2 linked regions of the Arabidopsis thaliana genome follow. The protein of the gene in region 1 purifies or fractionates together with the protein of each later gene. This does not show direct contact. Each region holds a gene or a part of one and is shown on either strand. Other genes may lie near its edges. The genes, in order: CYCA1;1 and BON2.

Evidence for each region.
Region 2: the proteins of CYCA1;1 (region 1) and BON2 purify together in Arabidopsis thaliana (affinity purification with mass spectrometry, with the first as the bait; one large-scale study listed by BioGRID). This does not show direct contact.

The regions. Positions count from the first base shown.
Region 1 is NC_003070.9:16,774,253-16,779,621, forward strand, and holds CYCA1;1 (Cyclin A1;1), read right to left. Parts: upstream 3,101-5,369; 5' UTR 2,931-3,100; coding exon 2,742-2,930; intron 2,509-2,741; coding exon 2,223-2,508; intron 2,142-2,222; coding exon 1,999-2,141; intron 1,916-1,998; coding exon 1,823-1,915; intron 1,738-1,822; coding exon 1,451-1,737; intron 1,352-1,450; coding exon 1,168-1,351; intron 1,085-1,167; coding exon 950-1,084; intron 849-949; coding exon 783-848; 3' UTR 513-782; downstream 1-512.
Region 2 is NC_003076.8:2,297,951-2,303,894, reverse strand, and holds BON2 (Calcium-dependent phospholipid-binding Copine family protein), read right to left. Parts: upstream 4,171-5,944; 5' UTR 3,900-4,170; coding exon 3,750-3,899; intron 3,674-3,749; coding exon 3,626-3,673; intron 3,512-3,625; coding exon 3,363-3,511; intron 3,279-3,362; coding exon 3,230-3,278; intron 3,149-3,229; coding exon 3,092-3,148; intron 2,995-3,091; coding exon 2,806-2,994; intron 2,730-2,805; coding exon 2,595-2,729; intron 2,513-2,594; coding exon 2,451-2,512; intron 2,350-2,450; coding exon 2,247-2,349; intron 2,170-2,246; coding exon 2,055-2,169; intron 1,970-2,054; coding exon 1,893-1,969; intron 1,820-1,892; coding exon 1,682-1,819; intron 1,598-1,681; coding exon 1,433-1,597; intron 1,346-1,432; coding exon 1,232-1,345; intron 1,142-1,231; coding exon 1,045-1,141; intron 968-1,044; coding exon 855-967; 3' UTR 627-854; downstream 1-626. Other genes in the region: ML4 (MEI2-like 4), read right to left, coding at 5,404-5,538, 5,742-5,921. UniProt on the Arabidopsis thaliana protein: Negative regulator of cell death and defense responses. May repress a number of R genes and may have effects in promoting growth and development. May function in membrane trafficking and in fusion of vesicles with plasma membrane.

The sequences.
Region 1 (5,369 bases):
TACAAAAAAAATTTTGTCATTTGATTTTAATTAAAACTCAAAAGAGCCAAAACTGAGAAATATTGTTTGGAAAAAATATCGAAAAAGCACAAACTTTCAAATTTGGAAAAAAAACATATAAAATTTTGAAATATCACTTAAATACCAAAGTTGTTGTTGACTTTATAATTAAATAGATAATTTTTGTGACTTTACCATTTTGGACACGTCGTTAAGTCAACGGACAAAAAAATTAACTCGGAACCTCTCAGATGTATCATTCATTCATTCCATTACCGACTAAGCTGAAGCATTTAATTGTTCGTTCTCAAAGACATACATATTTTATATAGGTTACAACAAAATTAACGGGGTTAATCAATTTTATTAATAGGTTCTGTTTCTTGTCGCTCTGTAATATTACAAAAATCATTTGTCCTAAAACATTTGATGTCTTACGGAAATCAAGAATATTGCAATTCAAGAATGTTTAAATTGAACATTGAATTCAGTAATTTATCAAATTCATTTATCACTTGATCAATAATAGCCATGAAATCTGCATAACACGTTTGTTTGCATATTTAAGCAGATTGATAATAACTTTTCCCACTTTTACCAATCAAATCATATCACCTAATTACGTCACTTTCTAGAGGAAGCCAAAATAAATCAGCTTAACAAGTTTTCAAAGTGAGATCGTAGATAGCTAATTTTATAAATAGACCAACAACAGCAAAATCATGTACAATCAAACAATTAAATCCAACACAACATTGGAACAAAGTTAAATTAAAGGATTTTTAGCTGTTGTTGAAGAACTCTTGTGGGATTACGGATGGACAAAACTTCTTCGCCACAAACTTGTACTGCAAAAAAAAAACACAAAAATCCAATCGTTATTAGCACATAAAACAACTTAATCATCATTCTTAATTGTTATCACAAATAAATAAACACAACAACTTACTTTGTGTTGACTATACTTCTCTCTAACAGCAGGTAGTGTAGAGCCGTGAGCAGTACTACACAATCGTTGAAGATCCTTCACACATCCTCTCAACTCCATCGCTTTATATTGCGTATAGTGTTGCAACGTCGAGTTCTGATCCAACCAAACAACAAACACATTTTACTACATGATTCTTATAAAGAGTAAAACAGTGTCTTAAGGTTGTTTAAACATACCCATGGTCGTCTTGTTGGGTCTAGAATGTACTTAGCCAAGAAAATGGCGGAAGCAGCTACTAGTGAAGGAGAATGAGAGAGCATAGTGTACTCTAGTAGCGATAATTCCGCAATGTAGTTAGCCATACATTCTAGCTGCATCAATGGAGCTTCATGAACACCATGAGCAGCTCGAACAAAGCGTCTGAAAATTCAAGTTGTACGATCCAACTGGTTAGTAATTAGTACAGAATTGTATGAGATAAGAGAAGGATCTGTTTTGTAAAGCAATCATCTCACTAACCTTAGAAAACATTTCGTAGTTGGTGCAGTCATTTCAAACTTCAAGTAATTCAGAACATCAGATTCCATATCAAGAACTTCATCTTTGAGATATGTATTATCAGTAATGTAACAAAACTCCTCAACTTGTGGAGCACATATCTCTTCATATTTCGCTGCTATCATCATACAAGCCACACCAAGCAACTGAAGTTTCTGTCTACTAATCACATTCCCAGATAAATACCTATCTATATAGTTCACAGTCAAATACAACGTCTCCGGTACAAGCCTATACTCTTCAGACACCTACAAGAAACCGAAAAAACCCTTAATAAAACATCGACAAGAGTGACAAAAGCCATCACATTTTCTCAATATAACTATCATTCACCTCAATAAGCCAATCAACTAAGATTCCACGCATACTCGAATTCACATCTTTCTGAACTCTCTCCATGTAATCAACATCAGGTCGCTTCTTAGCCTAGCATATAGATGATACACAGATTCAGAAAACTTGCAAACACATAAAGCTAAAAATATCACATTCTGGTTAAGAGTTATCACCTCAGAAGCACGAAGATGCTTATAAATGTCACAAGCAAACGTAGCACAAAGCTGAGGATCACCATTGTTACTATCAATGTTAACAATCTGATTCTTATCCATTTTCTTCATATCAGATAACACATCTCTACTACAATAATTATCTGCAATACCAAGCAAATCAATTCAATACCAAAACAATATAAACAACAAAGTCATAGAGAACCATTAGTAAGAAGTAGTACCAATTGTTTCTGAATTCGGCGTTATGAACAGATTACTCAAAGCTTTCCTCTCAATCGAAACAACAGCCGAAACGTCGTCGTTTTCGATATACTCAACTTGAGGACTCTTGTAGGAATCACTTGAAGACCTAGTCTCGTCCATTGATACTGAGCCATCATCAGATTTGCTAGGTGAAGAAGCAACTTTGTGAGGAACTATGCTTTGTTGCAGATTGCTAGAGAAACTGGCATTAACGCAAACACTTGGTGCTATCTTCAATTTCGCTGACTTGTTTGAACAATGTACCTATACAAAACCAAAATCAAACTCAAAATCAATAAGCAATCTCATAGATTCAATCAAAGAAACAATGAATCCATATTCAAAATTGATCACAAAAACCAAATCCACAACAAAAAATGAAGCGAAGAAACAATGGATCTATAGTGAATTAGAGTAAGCGAATCTTCAAATCAAACTAAATAGATCACAGAAACGAAAGATTTTGAAAAATTCATAGCGAAATTGAAGAACCTCACCGAATCAGAATTTTGTAATCGTGAGGCGATTTTTTGATTGGTAATGTTACTTAACGGTGCTCGTTTCTTCGTCATCGCCGGCATAAGTTTAACAGAATTCTCCGATGAAGATGGTGCTTGACGCTTCGCTAATGAAGATTTCGTCGAAGAGGAAAACGAAGATCGCCGATTCTGAAGAATGTTCGACATTTTTTTTCTTAGGGTAAAATGAATCTTCTCTGAGAATCTCTGAAAAAGGAAACAGAGTTTTAATGGCGAAAGAGAAAGAGAAAGAGAGAGAGGTTTTAAAAACAAAGCGAAGGAAGTGAGGTTAAATAATTTTTTGAAATTTGAGGAATGATCGTGACCGTTGATTTTGAAGTGTAGATTTTGTTTTGGAGCGTGCACGAATTTTAAAGGTGTATGTCTGTTATTTAGTATTGATCACTGACCTGTTATATTACGCCACGTATGGGTTAATTAGCTTTTAGGGAAACAATGTGTGACAGTCAGTAACGAGACTCGGTTCGGTTTACTTTTTTTGAATTCGAATTTCAAACGGAAATAAATTCGAATTTCAAACGGTCACCTTTTGGGTGCTCTTTCTCTCTTTTTTAAAATAAGTTGGAGACATAAACCATATAAAGATAAATTTATACATTGAAATCAGGAGCTGCTATTTTTCAATTTTAAATACTTTTACCACGAAAATTCAATGTGATTTGCTGTTTAAAATTTTCAAAATGTGAAATATGGAGTTTATGAGTAAAATATTTGATCATGATATTTCTTGAGTGTTGTTACTTGTTTAGTAACAAGAATACATTAGAGAAATCTCAAGTTCTCATGAATACATTAATTTTGGTATTCACCGATACTAGTCGTGGCTAAGTTAGAAGGTCTATATCAAGTTTTTGATGAATATTGTTAAGACTAGCATTGTTATTAAGAGTTGGATAGGAAGTAGGAATTTTTCATGATAGTATTGATGCTAGTTCATGGTAATATTGATGCTAGAAAATAAGAGTTCGTTAGGAACTTTTGGTGAAGTAAAGATTCACTTAATTGGAAATTATTAAGTGAAATTAATATTAAGTTATTAAGTTATGGTTGATCAAGAAATTAATAAATCTCGTGTCTCGTCATGTTTATCTTTAGGGCATCTCCAACCATAACACCATTTTAGTATTGAAATAACACTATATTTGGTGTAGTTTTCACACTAAAATATTTTTCTTCTCCAACCATAAAACTAAATATCACACTAAAGCTAATATTTTCTATTATTATACTATTAACTAAAATTTTAAAATATTACACAGTATTAAAAATAAATATTACACAACAAAATAGTATGTTAAACAAAATTAATTACAAAAAAGTAACACAATGACAATACAATTGCATTCACACATAATATTACACAAATTAAAATACTACAAGAATACTAATACTCACATATCATTCATCAAATTCCAAAGATGTTTAAATTTAAAACCTTTCTTTAGTTTTGTAATTTTATGTTTTGAATGTTAAGTTGAATTTTTATTATGTATCAGCTATTTTAATATACAATCATATTAAAATAAAATAAAAATTGATACTTAAATGTTTGATGTCGCTACAGTAATACACCAAATATAGTGATTTACTGTACAAGAAAATGGAATCACACCATAATAGTGCAAAGTATAGCGTTTGGTTGGAGACAAAAAGTAAACATCCCCATGTCAAGATAACGTTTTGCCGTCACATTGGACATGGTCTTAAGATGTACAATGGAACGGCAAAACGTTATTTGGAGGTGGTAATATTAACTTTCTGTCTCCAACCAAAGTGTATATTTTGCACTATTATAGTATGATTCTTTTTTTATTTATAATAAATCACTATATTTGTGTGCTACTATAACAATAACAAAAATTGAATTAATATTATTATTTATTTTAATTTTATTAAAATAGTATATTTAGTTATATATAGTATATAAAATATGATTTGTATTGTTATTTAACAATCTAATTAAGTTTTGAAGTAAACATAATGTATCAAAACTATTTTTGTATTTAAAATTTTAATTATATGAAATCTTAATTTGTAGAAAATATTAAAATTAATATAAAAATTTTAATTGAAGATACATAACAAATTTCAATCAACCATTAAAACAGTTTTTTAGCTCGACATAGACAAATTAAGATCGAGAAGCTCATATTGAATTTTGAAATGTTAATTGAACATTTGTTGTCGTTAGAATTAGTATGATGTAATTTATTTTTAGTATGTAAATTTTTGGATTATAATTTTACATTAATTGATAATTTTAAAATATTAACTAAGAAAATGTTCAATTTAACAATATAATAGTGAGAATAGTATTTTTAGTGTGATATTTTGTGTTGTGGTTGAAGAAGAATAAAGCTTTAGTGCTAAATTTACATTACACATATTGTTATTTCAACACCAAAATGATGTTATAGTTGGAGATGCTCTTATACCTTTCACCATCTTCTAGATGAAGTTTTACAAATCTTAACATCTCTCGTAGATTGTTATTTCAACACCAAAATGGTGTTATAGTTGGAGATGCTCTTATACCGTTCACCATCTTTTAGATGAAGTTTTACAAATCTTATCATTTTTTGTAGA
Region 2 (5,944 bases), on another chromosome or scaffold:
TTCTACGTCTAAATTATACAAAAATGACATTATATAGCTAAGATTACGAGAAAAGAAAGTGACTTTTTTAATAAGAAAGTCAATCTGATAGAAAAAAGGTTGAGAGTATCTTACAACGACATGTCAATGAATTTGAATTTAAATGAAAAAATTAAACTTTAAAACAGGATATACACATGGCATGTGTAGGTATTTTCAGATTTGTTGACGAGAACGAAGAAACAACATTTTGTGAATTTGCCAAGCAGGGAAAATGAGTTTAACGACGTCACATAATGTAAATTTTTTTTTTAAAAAAAAAATCTTTTTTGCATAAAACGGCTTGACAACTTTTTTAAAAAATTTACTTTCAATTTTATGATAATTATAACACAATACGTATATATAAACAAAATTTCAGATTTAGTATTATGAGATTAAAAATAGATACTATATAATAGAATATTTATATTTTAAGGTCTCGTTTTGTTGCTGTAATAGACAGTATCTGTTTCAGCGACAAGTACGGTAAAGAATAATCAACGGTCACGTTTAATAAAAGTTAGACTTAGAAAGTCCACCTAAATCCCAACCAAATTAAGAAAGTCAACAACTATATATGTTGACCGTTGAAACAGTACATATCTATGTGAATACGCCCAAACCAACTAATAATTTGGCATATATAATAAATTATGTTTTTGACAACAAATATAATAATGAAGAGTGATGAGATATAATTTGACGTGGAATACTGGAAAACGGAAAAATTCCAGACAATATAAAATCGAAAAAAACAAAAATAAAAGCCAAGATAAGACGACAGCGTTTATAGCTGTGACTGACTGATGTATGTACAGTGTTGAGAGTGTGGATCAAGTAGAAGATGGAGTAGTGGTGGTGGGAGTAATATTACGGTTTCTCATATACGTCAAAAATTGTGTTGGCAATTCTGCTAGAAGTGCTTCTACCACTGAGACCTCTCCATCTGCAACAACAACAACAACAACCACAATGATCAGAGACCAAAACTCTGCCTGACAAATCAAGAAACACGAGACTCACATTGTATGTCTCGTAATGCAACAAACTGGACGATATCGCGCGATGCTATTCGACCACTGGAGCTCTCTAATTTCTCTCCTTTATCTCCATCTAGTACCTATACAAACAACCAATACATAAACCTTGTAAGAATCTATTTCAAGAAGTTTTTCAAATGAAGTTAAGCATAACGTTTTTGTTTAAGAACCTCCATTTCTTTATAGTCAGCTCCTCCGACTCCAACGATGAGGATTGATAATGGGAGATCCGATGCACTGACAATTGAGTCTCTCGTTTCTTGAAGATCTGTTATTACTCCATCCTACAAAAAAACCGACATGGTATTTTCATATAGATAAAAACACAAGAATCAGAGGAAAATCACACGTCTTGTTGTGTATAAACTCACTGTGATTATTAACAAGACGTAATATTTCTTTGCACTTTGAGCGAGTGAATCGCTTGCGATTGTTGCAGCAGCGTTGATTACAGGACCAAATAGAGTAGGTCCTGCAAAAGAGACATTGAAGAGAGCGCCATTGTAGGCATTCATGATTCCTTGAATTCCGTCTACCTGAGAAACAATCAAATAACAAAGATTAATTGAGAAATTTTGATACAAAAGTTAGTTCAATGTGAGTAGGATTTGTTGCAAGACCTCGCAATAAGTACTGCTTCCGTTGAGGTTAAAGCAATGTGAGACCGGGATGTCGATTGGACGAGCTCCAAAACCCCATGCGGGAAAGCGTTTGTCCGAGTCATAGAACTGCAACACTTCTCCAACTTCAACTATTGCCTGAATAGAAAGAAGAAAGATCACACACAGTCACCAGCTTCTGCAAATTAACTTGAATAGATCGAGTTCTTACTCTCTGGTAGGCATTTAATCGTCCTGTAGGATCAATGTAATGCAAGGAATCTGGCAGGCGAGGATTTCCATTTGAAGCTGATGGAAGAAGGGACAAATTGGATTAGTTTAAAGAGAGAGAGAGAGAGTCTAGAAAAACTCTGCACTTTTCAGATCTTTTTACCTGTGAAATCAATTGCAACCATGAAGTTCAATTCAAATCCAGAAGCCAAGTATTCTAGGAATGTATGCTGGACGGTTTCAGTAAACTTGTCAACGAAAAGCTGGCTCTTTAATACCTGAAATAATGCTAAATGTTATCAGAATTCTCGCATTTTAAATTGTGTAAAAACCTCTTGTTGTTGAAGGTCTATACCCTATCTTCATGTTTATGTCCAACACCAGTAGGTAAGGCTAAATTGATTCCTTGGCCAGCCAAATGAAGCTTTTCTAAGTCTGACAGTGATTTCTGAACTTTTCTGGCAAAACCAATAAGATACAAGAATCATCTCAGCTTCAGCAAATCATTTTCATATCTCAACCAAAAAAGAATGCAAGGAACTGAGATTTTGTGACTAACCCTATCAGATCGTGATTGCCATTGCCATTGAAGTCTAAGCACTCTATTACCAGTGGGCTGTCCTGCAAGATTACAAAAGAGAAACTAATACATCTTCCTGGTCAGACAAAACTCAGATATAATAAACCCCTTTGGTTGGTTTACCTTACTCCCCACTTGTTGAACACTTAGAGAGACTGGTTTCCAAAGTGGATTGGGATCATTCTTTAAAACTTCTGTTTTAGAGACCGGGATTGGAGTCCCGTGCTCTACAATCTTAGATATCACCAAAAACGGGTCCTGAGCATGAACAACAACAGTGTTATATTCATGTCTGAAGTATACTGAGATAAACTGGTCAAAGAGTATAGCTTACACTTTTAGAGAAAGTATCCTTTGATTCCAAATTCAACCCCCTAAATACAATCTCTGTATTGGTCTTAGAAGCTAAAGACTCCTCAGCATGAACAATAAGCTTTCCATTATGTTGTGGCTGAGTCTGTGCAGCAACACCTTCTTTACGCATAAGTTCTAAAGCAATCGTCCTATTTGATTTGGTAACCACCTGCACAGTCAACACAACATCTAAATCAAACTAATCTATAGCAAGTTTATCTTCTCTTCCTTACACTAAAAATGATGTAATAGAGAGGTTGGCATACCTCGGACAATGTACATGTTGCCTCACCGAGAAATTGCTGTTCGTCGAGCTTAAGCAACTGAAAACATTAAAAAAAAAGTGTAACTTATATTAAGACTACCTAGTGACAAACGAAAAGATGAAAAATTTTGGCAGATACCTCCTCCTTAGAATTTTGAAACTGAGTGTCAATATCATAGACACGAAACCTGTGCAGCAAAAGGTGTTAAAGTTGATTCCTTTTCCTCAAGTTTTTCACACATATAACCGAGGTTTCAAGGAACTTCACTTACAGCAATGTTTGCACAATCTCGAACTGATAACCAATAGTAAAATTCTTAATCCATTTAGGATTCAAAGAATTCAAAACAACTTCACTACGAAACAATTCAGCAAGTGTTCCATCTCTTCCTTTTGTATAAACAACCACCATTGCATCACTCTGAGATATAACAACCAAAGTAATGATATAAGCTTATATACACTATCCTTGAATCAAACCTATAACACTTAATTGGCTCCAGGAATATCAGTTTTCTGGAAGAAAAAAACGAACCTTTGAAATCACGTCCCGGTCTCGCAAATTGGAAGCAGAGAAAGATAACTGCGAACAAAGAAAAAAAAGATGAGTGAAACTAAAAATTTCAAGTCTTGAAGAAGGGAAAAGGGAAGAAACAGACCTCGATCTGAGAAAAGAGGCCATTGTAGCCACGAGACTTGAGATAGTAGTCAACGGCGTCGTTAGGAGTGGCGGCGGAGGAATTAGCCCCACCACCAACACCGACCATTCCTCCACCAGCGTAAGAGCCATCAGACCAACAGCTTCCCATTAGACGGCGAGAGTCTCTTCAGAACAAAAAAAGAGGAGGAGGAGATTGGGGGGAGACGAACAAGGAAAGAAGAGGAAAAATCAGGACAGTGAATTAGATGGGACCCACCTTTGTTTTTCCAAGTCGACGATCTGTCTTGACTCCATTTAATTTCCTTTTATTGTTGTTTTGAAATTATTGACAACATAAAGAATTAAGTATTCCCCAAATTAATTAGTGTAGGTTTATGTTTGATTAGTGGAAAACTAGATGGTCCATATGTATTAAATTGGCTGTAAGATCACGTGAATATATTTACTACAACCGGTCTACTTGTATATATTTTGGTCCACATCGGAAAATTGTCTTAGTATCAGATTTTTGAATTAAGCCGACGTTTAAGAGATAATTTTGTTTATAGTTCTATGGGAATAAAAGTATTTTTAAAAAAAATATATTTTATAATGCGGTGTGACTGTAATTGAAATAGGAACAAAGAAAGAGAGAACGCATCTTTTAGAGGGAGACGTGAATAATAAGACACACCAATTTTACGTAATGACCAATTAAAAAAGATTTCGCCACCAGAAAGGCTAACAAAACTTTTTCAAAAGCATAATTACTACTGGACTACATATATAGTAACTTTTTGTTTCTATAAATATAACAAGAATAACTATATAGTATTATAGAATATAGTTCATGAGATCGGTTCCTTATCCAAGAGAATCATCAAGTATGTGTTGCAGACCAAACCCAGTTGCTTCTTTCTTTCCAAAGCCTTATAATGGATGGATACAAGAGCTGGACTGGAGAAGGAGCCAAGGAGGTCCTCCACTGCCATAAATGGGCCACTTACTCTCAGGGGCCAAAAATGTATCCAACCAAGAATTCTGATAGTCGAAAATTTAGAGACCAAGTGTCTTAGTAGTATTATTTATTCCAAGAGGAAGCCTTAAACAACTGACTGTGTCAGAAGCTTATAAAGTGACCGACTAAAGATTCAAAGAAACACTAAAAACCAAAAGAGAAGAAAGCAATGCCAAAAACTTCGCCCTCAAAAGGGTTTACATAAATGATATTATATGGTCCCAAGCCACGGGCGAAGAAACTGAACACATCGTACTAGGTTGTTACATTTGTATGCAAAGTACAAAGAAAAAGATCCTTGTAGACACAACCCAACAATTTTTTAAGTAAAACAGAAAAATAAAAACTTAGAAAGCAAAAAGAAAAAAAAATCAAGCAAGGTTTTCTCTGGGAGGTTTAGTGATACAACAAAACTTGTGAAGTAACCTGAAGGAGTTTAAAGGGACCAAGACTTCAAAAACTTTCTCCTCTGCAAAATGAGTTTTCTCAGGTAATTTACCACACCCCCAAGGATTTACAGAGCTGTGGGGTTGTCAACGATATATATATATTTTACCTTGTGTTAATCTTTTGGGTCTCTTTTCTTTTACCTCTGATACAAGACGCCTAAAAGGGTTAGTCTGGCTTACGACATGAAAACTGTCTGGCTTATCGGTTACATGGAGTCGTTCCCATTTGCAGGTTCGTCTCGGTTATCAGAGCTACTGCTAAAGTTGGTGTAGTTCTCGATGCTATTTGTTCGATGCTTGCCTGGTCTTGACCGGATGTTTGAACCCATTGGAAATGGTTCCTGCACATTTACAAATGCAGTAATCTCTCATCAAAAACAGCTAATTGAAAGGGAAATAGGTTCTCTCATTAGGACCAACTATGAACCTAATTTATGTGTGTCACGCTATAGTGAATACATAACTACCAGATGATATGATTACTTGCAACAGAAAGAGGTTATAGTTTGAATAAGGATATCAATTGAGCCCTTGTCTTCCTTACCTGATCACCAGCATTTGGACCAGCAGTGTGGAAGAGAATAGGCCTGCAACGTTTGTCTTCGTTCATCAAACTTGAGTTCTGGAAATGGGCAATAAGAGCTGATTTCCCCTGAATCCGACCATATGCAAGCGATGCCACCTTCTCGCTGTTGAACTTTTCCCATTTCTTACCGTTGAATGCCTGTTAAGGTTTTAAACTTGTAA